Drosophila melanogaster: one gene and its partner. The protein of the gene in region 2 interacts with the protein of the main gene of each other region in a pairwise test. Each region holds a gene or a part of one and is shown on either strand. Other genes may lie near its edges.

Region 1 (6,407 bases), on a different chromosome or scaffold from region 2:
GTTGTTACGCTGCAAAATCCGCTCGGCCCTCTTGTCCATCCAGCCGAGGATGAGGGCACAGGTCATCGACATCACACAGGTGAGGGTAGCCAGCAATAAGACGACGCCTAGAGCGGTATGTCCCTTGTAAAAATTGCTCACATACTCATAGATGGGCTGCATCACCCAGAAGTTGACGGTGCTGCCGAATCGGGCAACCGACAGCTGCAGGCCGAATACCATGTTCAGTTCCTTGCCCTTAAACCAGAGCACCGCATAGCTGTTCTGGGCCACCGCCAGTGATTCGGCGCCAATGCCGAAGATAAACCGTCCCAGGATCATCATCCAGAAGGCGTCCAGAATGCCGCCGCAGGCAAAGATCAACTGACCCACCAGCAGGATCATCATGTAGATAATCGTGCCCAGTCGAATGCCAAACAGTCGATCGATCAGGAAACCTCCCACGAAGCACAGGACGACATTGGGCCACGAGTAAATCGAGTAGATGAGTGTGAACTGGGCGGAGGTCAGATTAAGATCTTTCTTGAAATAGTTCTGCAGGGCGCCGGGTGCATCGTAACAGAAATAGGAGCCGAATCCCAGCAGGCACATGAACACCAGAGCCATGAACCGGTGGCTCGTGCTCGAGGGCATGCAGCAGCCGCCGGACGGAAGGCTCAGTTCATTGTCACGCCGACCGGCCCGACTGACCACTTGGTCCTCCTCCGTCGGTCGCGACACCTCCTCATTGTCCACGATGCGTTCCTCGTCCTCGCGCGCCATCTCCACTCACCGCTGGCACAATCCGCACTGACCAGTTGGATGTGGAGCCGAATCCCGCAGAATGGGCGTATGCAAAACTATGTGATATGATTAATCGGCTTTCTGATTTCCTGCCGCAGTTGTTTTTTCTTTTGCTTTCGTTTTTCTCTTTTCGTATTTGCCGTTTCTGCAAAATATTTGTATCAATTTCTGCGAACGAGTGAGCGAGTTGAACTCTTCTGCTTTGTCTTGGCTTATCTCGCTGCTTTTGTTTTTGTTTACTGTACTAGTACCCTTTGTCTAACAACTATTGTTGTTGTTGGCTGTGTGGGCTAGTTAGTTGTCTCTGGGTTCACTGGTTATCAGCAGTTTTTCCACTCCACTTGCAGCTGAAGTTCGCAGTGCGGTGTTGGGCAACAAATGTTCGGTGACGTGTGCAACCGCACTTTATTGCTGATCGAATAAAACTAAATTCTTTCCTCTGCCTAATTAACGTTAATTACGCATATACAATGGCGGGGCTGCCAACTCGCTGTAGAGCAGGGTTGTCGACGCAGCTACAGGTGCATTCGAACAGCTGGCAGGCGATAACGATCACAAATATGAACGGTATTCCTGTTTTGCTCTCCATTATAATCGAAAGTTTACTCTAATTGAAATGCAAATTTTAGTAAGCCATGATTATTTATATAATAGAATTATATAAATAAAAATAAAAACGCTTGATTATATTAATAAAACAAGATAATCATTAATTGAGAAACTATTTAAGTACAAGAGCTCAACGACGCAGAAATCTCTTGCATCTTGTTTTGATTTAATTTAGTATAGCCTGACAACCCTAATCCAGCAACGCCGAGTTGAAGCATGTTTTCATACTTTTTACCGGGTAAAATGTATTTAATTATATAATTCAGCGGCCCTTGCAGCAATGGATCCCATCGACACCACCAAGCGAAAGCCCAGACGCACCTACGGCACGCCATCCTACACGTATCGCAATCGATTTGCCTATGCCCTCTTGGCCGCCGGAACTGTGCTCTTCGGCATTTGGAGGTGAGCAGATCTTCGAACTTAACGTATAAATGTGGTTTTAATGCTTGCCACCGCCTCGTTTTCAGCCTGACTCCCATCCAGCGCATTGCCAACGAGAAGCTGTCCCAGGCGGTGGCCCAAACCGAACAGGAGCGCGATAGGAAAGGACTCTTTGAGTTCGGCGCACCAAGGACTTCGCAGTTCATCAGGGACGCCATCAAGGAGAGCGAGGAGCAGAGGAACAAATAATGGATCGCAAGACGCGGCGAGCCAACTTCAAAAACCTGCAGCCTCGGTAATTTTAATTGAAATAAAGGCCAATAAAATGAATGTCATTATCTAACCGAACACTTTGTTTTCCTTTCATCCGAAGTTTGACGCGAAGCACCAAAGCAGCCGCAGATACATTATCGTTATCCAACTTCTTTGCCACACCCGAAAATGCTGAAGAAGTTCCGTCATGTCTCGCCGACATTCCTGTTCAGCCCGATCCTCCTGCGCCAAAAATCAAACCAATACGCACCAGCAATGTGTTCGAAAAACCTGGGCCCAAGCCCAAAAAGGCACCCAAGCTCAAGGCCAGCACTGTGTCAACGTCGAGTGGGGCGCGTCGTGGACGCGGAAAGAGCAAACAACAGCCCAGTATCAGCAACTTTCTACGCAACGAGCAGATCTTCGCGGAGGTTACCGCCCAGCATTGCATGGCGGACAACTTTAGTGCGGATGACATTGAAATGGCGCTGGCGCTGTCCAAATCGGAGAGTGAGAAGCATGGACGCCTTCGTCTGCATGACGATGACGATGCGGTGGTTGACCTACTGGATGATGAAGAGAAGTCCACTGAGAGAATACGTCATAAACTGCAGAAGTATGGCTTCCGCACAGCCGCCAAGGAAGGTAAGTCATCTTATAAAGTGTAAACGGTAAGATTGGACTTACGTTTTATCCCCATTTAGATTATAAATCTCTGGCGGTCCTGCCCGTGGTGGCCAGCAAAGGAGGTAGACGTGGCAAGTGGGCCAATAGGTTTACTTCCCTAACTTTAAGAAATCCGGATGTGCAACAGAAGAAGCTCGAGGAGAAAGTGTCTGCATTGCTTGGCCAAGAAATGCGCGGCAAGGAGCCCAACGGGGAAGACTGTTGTCTGACACCATACACTGTGATCACCGCAGCATTGAAGGAACTCAGAGCTGAGGGTGAATCTCGCATCCTTCGGGAACCAAGCGAAGGGCCCATAGATGACCTAGAATCATACTACGTAACCGACTTGTTTGAAGTTAGTCGCACGCCGGCACACCATCTTTTGAAGAATTGGGCAGCGATACAGGGAAGGGATTTTTCGCCAGAGCGTGAGACCCAAAAATGCCGCCAATTAAGGCAACAACATGAGCTTGTCTACGCTGAGTTGGAAAGGTACTACGGTGATCCACAGAAGTTAGAAGAGGAGGTGATGCAGGAACTGGATGAATTGGAAAAACTGGTGGCAGATAACATGATCGAAGATGATTCTGTAGTGATAAATATTGTGGAGGCAGAATCATCGTCGACTGGTAGCAGTCCATCAAAGGAGCCGCCGGATAAGCGTCCAAAAATGACAATGGAAGATAAGGAAAACCTGCAGCCAACAACATCAAAAGCCAGCTTGACTGTTCCCGCCCAGTCAACCCGCTGCACCTCGCCGGATCTCTTTGCGGACTCCGAAGATGAGCCGGATATAGTAACGACTGCTATATCCAATGAACCCGAAGACGTTAGGAATCTTTCAATGAAAGTTTACAAGAATGTCAGCATTAGCGAACGATCATCTTCGGTCGCTGAAATAGAAATTGTGTCCAGCAATGATGAACCTTCTCAGATAACCACGTATGAAGTGTTTTCCAGCGACGAAGGTGAGAATCTCCATTCATATAGACAGCACACCCCTTAAGAGTATTTCAATTTGCTTTCAGTAAAGACTGTTTCCAACGCTACGCAGGAGAAGATTTCTTTTGATGGTGAGTAAACACAGAAAAGTTCGATACCAAAATCTCATTCATATTTTAATTTCCAGACAAACCCATAGATGACTTTATAGACCTAACACAAGAGTTCGATATGGTAGAATTTAATGAATCAAAGCCTAGAACCCCAAACTTAATTGCATCATCGGAAACAGATTCCAATGTAGACAACCTAAATGGTGATACAATTCTAGATTTTAGTTCCCAGGAGGTAAGTTGTCCCATCTCCAAGGAATTGTACGCAAAGTATGCCAAGGTGGAAACATTCCCTGTGTGGAATGCAGCAGCAGAAGAGGAGGATAAAATTGAGTTTTCCTTAAGCATGGAAAGAGATTTGAAGAGTTCCGAGCAATCGTCGCATCAGCTCGGCATATTAACCACTCCAAATGACACCGAACACAGTTCAAGCTTCAGTGAATTGAATTTCTCGAGGAACTCGCTTCGGAGGAGCGTTAGTCTATCAACGGATCTCAGTTTCAAAAGTCCGCTTAACTGGAAAATGAACTCATCAGCCGAGAAGAGGGTCTCGCCGGCTGCTTCTCCTTACAAACAGTCGGATGCTAGTGTGGACTTAACCCAGAACAGCGATGACGAAAACGACGCAATTCTGCTCTCCGACGAGGAAATCAATTACTCCATTTGGAAGGGCAATAAGACCGTAAAAGATTTGGATATCGGGGACGATAGCTCAGACAGTTGCTTTGCATCTCCGGTGACGAAAAAGCGAGCTATCCCACAGTTCCAAACTGAGGAGGATCTGGATGCCTTCTTGATGGACTTTTCCACGGATGGCAATGGATCGCAAGGTTCACATTCTCCCAACAAGAGTGCTCTTAGCAAGGAGCGTGCTGAATTCGGAATACTGGATGCTGCTCCGTCTCAACCCTTCAGTCTATCTGAACTTCAGAGTCACGCCGACAAAGAGAAGTCATCGGATAACGAAATCAACTGGGCAGAAGCTTCATTTTTGGATGCACCAGCAAAGCCATTGTCACGCAGGAGCAGCCACAAATTTAATGAGCTCTTGGCGAAAATAAGCAAACCAGCGCATAACTCTGGCGACGACTTTGACGAATTCGATCAGATGGTTTTCCAAAGCACCAAGGAAGCCGCCTCCAGTGCTGGCGAAACAAGTGACATGCCTCAGGGATTGGACCTTTTGTTGAAGGGAGAGATAAAAACGACAGCGATCCCGGAGACAAGAGCTCCAGGCAACCAAACTCCGATTGAACCGCAGCAAGTAGATGTTGACGGCAATGTCTACTCCGTGCGTGTTTGTCACACACCTAAGCCAGATTTCGCCACCCTCCCGGAATCGGAGATCCTCCAGCAGCTCTACAAGTACGGCATAAAGCCACTAAAACGCAAACAGGCAGTGAAAATGCTCGAATTCATCTACAATCAAACGCATCCCATAATGAAGACAGCTGCTGTTCAGGATTTACCAGCCAGATCTGAGCCAATTGTGCGTTCCAAGTCAACTCCTGTGATTATGGAGAGACCACATTCGCAAGTAGCAAAGTCAACCTCTAAAACATTGAAGGCAATTGGGACAAAAAAGGATTTAACATTTAACGATGCCACGGGCGAGGAATTGCTGCGCTTTTCCCAATCCCTTGCCCCGAGTCTTTGCGATGACTTCGAGACCTTTGTCATGCAAACGAACGTTACCAAGAAGACACCACAGCCGCTGGTGCCACTGCACATCGCCTGGCACAATCTCATCTGCGCCAATCCCCAACTGCACGAAAGTGTACTCACGTACGAACCCATTGATTTGCAGGCAGTTTACTTGCACCTGAAGCACATGGGGCATCGATACGATCCAAAGGACCTGAAGACCTTCTTCGACCGGCGTTGCATTATCTTTCGCTATGAACTGGGTGCTCCCGGCAAGCAAGCAGAGCGTCATGTGCGAAGGCACACAAAAAAGCCTTCTAAAAGGAAGTAGATTCTACAAGTTATGGAATTTCATTGTACTTATACCTAACTTTGAATGCATTGAATTATTTTCTAGTATTTACCTTATATTGTATTATTGAATAAGATATTGTTACTTGGTATTTTGCGATCTAAATTTATTGTATGTAAAATTGATAAAACTCAAATACATTCAACACTTTTGTTTGAAGCATTGTTAACCATTCCTATTTGCCATTTCAAGCTACCCACTAGCATCTACGATTAAAAAACACAATATTATTTTGGGGGCCGTAGATTTATTTGATGCAACTTCAAAATACAATATTACAAAACTAATGGACGAATACAAATGTATAGAGTTTGTAGTAGATACAAGACACTGATATTTTCATACGAGTAGAATATTGGACAACATTAAATGCAGCATCTGTAGACAGACTACCCTAAATGGGTATTAAATGTAAAAATACAATTCGATCTTACGGCGCTAGAAAAGACACTTGGACGGTATAAATTTCTTACGAGTCTCTACGTGAAAGGCACATTGTCAGATTGCGATTAATGGAATGGAATCGGCTCGAACAAAACTGGTTGCTAATGAAACTATTTGTACTGCATGCAAAACTGATATGGTTGGTGGGTGCAGACGGGTTAGTGGGCTCTTACAGTAGCTAGGATTAGTTTTGGGGGGAGAGAGATATATAAGAA
Region 2 (5,129 bases):
CTATAAATCCACCGGGCCTTCGAAATAGAGCGGGTTGGATTCATCATGTCGGTGTTGCATCTTAATGCTTTATTAACTTCTTTAACATTATTTTCAGTTGACGCAGTCCACGATAGTCCACCGCAGAAGCGCCCGAAGGAATCTTCCATTGTCATTGCTCTAAAGGAAGCTGTGAAAATGGAACCCAATCCGAATGCAGGCCGAGTTAGAGCAGAACCCGACAATATAGATACTACTGAAGTGTCTGTGTTCAACTTCAAGGGACAGGAGTACGTACAAATGTCTATGGAGTATTACTTGCAGGAAAAGCGGAAAATGGCTAAACTTTTGCAAGACTATAAAAATGCTTTAAGAAGCATTAAGAAACATATTTCCCACCTTGACCTTTAACTTTATCAATGTAATACATGTTGTTCTTCTGTCAATTTACTGAACGTTATCTTAGTTTAAAAGCACCTGACGAATTGGGAAACAAACCTAATAATTTATTTTATTATACTTGGAGAATAAATACTGATAAATATTAATTAATTTGTTACACTTTAAATTTCAGCATTTAATTTCTTTCGTTTAAACCTTAAATACCGCAAACAAATCTAAATTATACTCAGTATTATCTATTGGAAATATTTTTAAAGTATTTAGTTAAAATGTTTACTTTTACAAGCGCATTAAGATGGTGTTTGCCTAGATACTTTTAGCTTATGCGATACCTTAGCATTTGTAAATAAAATGAAATGGGTCCTCAACTAATCGCTGAGCTCCGGGGTATCTTCAATATCGCTGTCTACATCAATGTCGTCGCTCAGATCCTCGTCATGATCCTGCAGTTCTTCAGGCACGCCCAAAAGAAGACGTTTGCGCTGCAGCAGTGCTGCCCAGCTGAGACGAGTCTCACAAAGCGGACACTCTCCTCCAACTGGGATGTAATGACCTGGCTCGTCGCCCAGAAGGTAATTGGCCAGGCACACCATATGGCATGTCAGCCGACACATTTGATTTGTGCATCCCAGGCGGGATTTCTCCGGTTGCTCCATTTCCTGCATACAAAGGTGGCACTCGGAAGCCCACGCCACAGGTGGAGGAGGTACTGCATCATCAGGTCTCCTACGTTGTGAGGCACTAATGGAAACCTTGCCACTCACAATTTCCATGTGTTTAGGCAGTGCCTTGCTGAATGGCCTCTCGTAATCCGTTTCTAGCCAGCGAACGGTGAGCGGTAATCTATTCCAAGGGCCAACCCCCAGCATATTACTAAGGATCCTAAAGTTGTAGTCAAAGAACGTCTCCCTGGGCAGTTTTCGTTTTAATTCAGGGTACATTTTAAGCCTAGTTGAAAGCGACGGCTGTTGCCAAGCCCATTCAAACTGGAGTGCCACTGTATTATTCGGGAATCCGTGCACGATCATTACCATCAGCCACGGCCCTTTGCGACTGGTTTTCCTCGCGCCACCGAAATCACAACCAAGATTGTGTTGGCGTATCCGCCGTTTGGGGTTCACGGTGAAGCCCACGTAGCATTTTCCCCGGTAGCGAGGATCCAAGCTCTGACTGCATAGCAAATAGACGCCGTAGAAGTGGCCCTTCAGCGCGACGGATTCCTCCTGTTGAGAAGCTGTGTCCTGTGGGTCTGTGAATTCACCAACAGATAGATTAATGAAACTTGCTTTGTGTCTGCAACCAAAAACCAACGACAAAGGAGGCGACACCCTAACTAAAGCAATGAGATGAGGTTTTCAAGATTTTCTAAAATAAAAAAAGAAATAAAATTATTTTAGAATTTTAGTTTGGCTAAAATAGCTAAGAAAATAAGGTGTGTTAAGTGGTAGCTGTTTCTCAGCCAAAAAGGAAGATAATAAATGGAATGCAAAATAACTTGTTCCAGGTTCTTATACTATTTTATTGGTAAACTTTTAGTTGCCAGCGCTAGTTTAACTCTAGTTTTATGTTGGCCCCCGATGCCACGCCATTGATTTGCTGCTGCTGCTGGGGATTTCCAGGCTGTGCTTGGACAGGCTGTAGGGCAGAAGACGTCTGTTGACTATCCGCCGTGGAAGCTGACCCGTTCACGTTGGGGGTAGGTGCTGCTGATTCGCCTCCCGTTGCTGCCTCCATGCCGTTCGCCTGCTGTTGTTGCTGCTGAAGCTGCTGTTGTTGCTGCTGGGCGGCCGTAACGTTTTCGATCAGTTTGATGCGCTTGCGAGTGTAGTGCTGCCACTGCAGAATGGCCTGGTCGTCTATGAACTTGCAGCACTGCGAGTTGACGATCTCCCGGCGGAAGTGTTCGTACTGCAGCAGATCGAGGAAGTAGAGGCACATTGGGTACATGAGGTATTTCGCATAGTCCGGCTCCTTCCAGTACTGCAGATACTTCAGGTAGTTGATGAACGACTGGTCCTTGAAAAATCCACGCTGTGCAAGGACTGGCACAAGGCGTTGTAATTGTTTATTTAGATATACGCGCAAGATGGTGAATAAGTGAATATTAGGTAGGTCGAGGTAATATTATTCTTACAGTTTAGATAGTTGGGGTTCGACAGGCACTGCACGAACTCCAGCTCGATCTGCCAGCGTCGCTTCTGCAGCTCCTCCGACTCGATAGCAGCTACGGAAGAAATTGGAGAGCATTAGTCCCTGAGAAATTAGCACCACTTTTGGTAGATCTCTGAGGATTCGGCATGCCAAGCGGTGTCAGTAGGTGTTAGATTACAATGCGAAAATGGGTGTGGATTGGCGTGTACTTACTCTTACCCTTTCCGTACATTTTGGCCATTTTGGACTGGTCTTTGGCTTTGGAAAGGGTCTCGTTGGGTCGGTACTTGCGTCTATTCAGTTTCGGTGTCGGGTTGGGTTCTTGGTTTCTTTCAGTGTGCTATGTGGATGTTCTGAGCTGTGTGTTTTGGTGCACCATCGAATTGAAAACGAAACGTCGCGGCAAACAAAACACACAAGTAAAATTATAAATATATATGGGCTTCGCTAATGAAATAAAATGTATGGCGCGGCAGTGACTGCACAGAGCAAACGCAGGTTGTGGGCCAAAAGAAAACTCGGGAAAACAGTCGACCAGGTTTCTGGGCGCAGGCGGTGGGTTGTCGCTCCCTTTGTGTTGGTGATTTCTTGTGGGAAGGCAGTTAAATTCAGTTTTTAATATTGTCTACAAACCGTAGGAGTTCATTTGGATTGTTGATGGCCGGCGACAACCCTACTTCTGTCCCCGCCAGGGCTGCAAGCTCATCCGAATACGATTTTTTTTTCGTAAAATACTGCTTTTCCGTATATTTTACTTGGTGTGTGCTAACGGTATTCTTGAAAATGTTTCTGTGTTAAAAATTAGAATTAGGGTTGTTTTAACCAACAAAAATCTTTAATACCAGAGTAAGTTTAAACAAATCTGAGCGTATGTATCAAGAAGTACAGCGATCAATGGTATCTACAAATAATCATAATAAAACAATTAAAATTTATATTAAAATATAAAATTCCGACCAGAACATTGACAATTTTTAATTATAATATGTAATTAACAATTGTGTGTAGCCTTCAGTATTTATTTCACTACCCCTAATGTGATGCGCATTTAATTCGGTATTTTCACAAGCCTACGACGAACGCTGTGGAGAACAATGCCTGATTTTTTTGTCAGCCTGAAAAGCAGCGAGGAAAAACTTGAATTTCGTCTGTAAAACATATCTAATCGGAACCAAGCCACTGAAAAAGTCGTAGTTTAGGCTAAATAAACGAGAAATCAACGAGTGAAACTAATTTCTATCTGTGGACAGAACGCCCCCGCACCTATTTTTGTGCTGAGGAACAAGCGAAGCAGCGACGCACAATTCAGAAATGTAAGTATTAACAAAATTATGTAATTTAAGTGCATATGAAACATTATATATGTATATCCAACTATTTCCCCGATTTCGACGGGTTAATCATCATCCACAAAAAATTCATGTTGGCGAAGAATCTATTATTAGATTACAGTGTGCTCTGCTTGAATACAACTCCGAAATGTATATACATATACAGATGCATACAGATGTACACATATGTACATATGTGCATATGTATCTATACAGCACAGCACAGCTGCCGTCCAAATAGAACCAAAGATTGTTTCTTGATAGGCTTCTGAATCATTTCAATGTAATTACGAATGTAAGTCTCTTTTGTGTCCGCTTAGGCAAGCCACAGTCGCAATTTTAATTGATCGATTGGTTTGCCACACTAATTCGTACATCTAAATTCGAGATAAATAGACCATTACCTAAAACAGTATTATAGAGTGAAAAGTGTACAGTGTGTAACTGGTATAAAAAGTGATTCCGACCCTATAATGTAAATGTTTCTTCGATCCGGACCAATGGCCTGGTCGATCTGACCACGATCTACAACGCCCAAATTGGCATATAACACTGTAGTTCCATACAATTGTCATAATAGTTAAAATAGGATTATTAGAAACGTATCAAATAAATGTCTTCGCTGAGTGCTGGGTATCTCATAGTCGCGACTCTTGACTAAAGTGATCTTTACTCCTAAACATCTTCCTATATACATGTGAAATGAATCAATGTTCTTAAGTGGGAAAATTCATAGGTAATATTAAAATGTTTAGTGTTGTAACTATGACCACGGCTTTATTTACGGGGGTGCATAAGGGGTAAAGCCAACGGTTGGCTTTTCCACATAGGAACAGCTGCAGATTTATTGGTATATTTTAAAGAACTGTCTGAGCTTAGCGTTTATGGGTGTCAGCTGGCACTACCTGTCCGGGGGTCGTCCTGGCGTACCTGACTGCCTACAAAACTCATTACATTTTTGCTTTCCATTACAGTTGCAAACCGGTTTTCGGCGCAGAAACACCCACTCGATCGTCCAAGAGTCAAGCGGAGAACAGTGAAAACATACATTATAAGGATCAATTTATAAAAGCAAAGCCGCAACAATCATGAACACTGGAATCTCCTTAAACGAGCGCTTTACGCAGATGCAGTCAAAGCAGCCGCCACAGGGACGCGGTCGCAGCCGCTCCAGGAGCAGGAGTCGCCGCATTGTGAGCAGCGGAGCCGGAAATCAAGGAATGTCCGCGGTCAACTCTAGGCTGCTGAATGAATTCAAGAGGCTCC

The links. Proteins that work in one complex are often made in the same cells at the same time.
Region 1: the proteins of slx1 (region 2) and mus312 interact in a two-hybrid assay, tested with the Drosophila melanogaster proteins (2 studies listed by BioGRID).

Annotation. Positions count from the first base shown.
Region 1 is NT_037436.4:7,327,567-7,333,973, forward strand, and holds mus312 (mutagen-sensitive 312), read left to right. Parts: upstream 1-1,565; 5' UTR 1,566-1,672; coding exon of another isoform or gene 1,673-1,797; intron 1,798-1,862; coding exon of another isoform or gene 1,863-2,024; coding exon 2,025-2,071; exon of another isoform or gene 2,072-2,122; intron 2,123-2,149; coding exon 2,150-2,673; intron 2,674-2,732; coding exon 2,733-3,665; intron 3,666-3,725; coding exon 3,726-3,770; intron 3,771-3,826; coding exon 3,827-5,727; 3' UTR 5,728-5,905; downstream 5,906-6,407. Other genes in the region: mrva (minerva), read right to left, coding at 1-762; CG42307 (uncharacterized protein), read left to right, coding at 1,673-1,797, 1,863-2,025. UniProt on the Drosophila melanogaster protein: Regulatory subunit that interacts with and increases the activity of different structure-specific endonucleases.
Region 2 is NT_033777.3:4,640,045-4,645,173, reverse strand, and holds slx1 (nuclease slx1), read right to left. Parts: upstream 3,212-5,129; 5' UTR 3,179-3,211; coding exon 3,166-3,178; exon of another isoform or gene 2,774-3,165; coding exon of another isoform or gene 2,746-2,773; intron 2,606-2,745; coding exon of another isoform or gene 2,516-2,605; intron 2,424-2,515; coding exon of another isoform or gene 1,927-2,423; exon of another isoform or gene 1,882-1,926; intron 1,631-1,881; coding exon 750-1,630; 3' UTR 538-749; downstream 1-537. Other genes in the region: Dlip2 (dorsal interacting protein 2), read left to right, coding at 98-390; MED31 (mediator complex subunit 31), read right to left, coding at 1,927-2,423, 2,516-2,605, 2,746-2,773; CG9775 (uncharacterized protein), read left to right, coding at 4,952-5,129. UniProt on the Drosophila melanogaster protein: Catalytic subunit of a heterodimeric structure-specific endonuclease that resolves DNA secondary structures generated during DNA repair and recombination.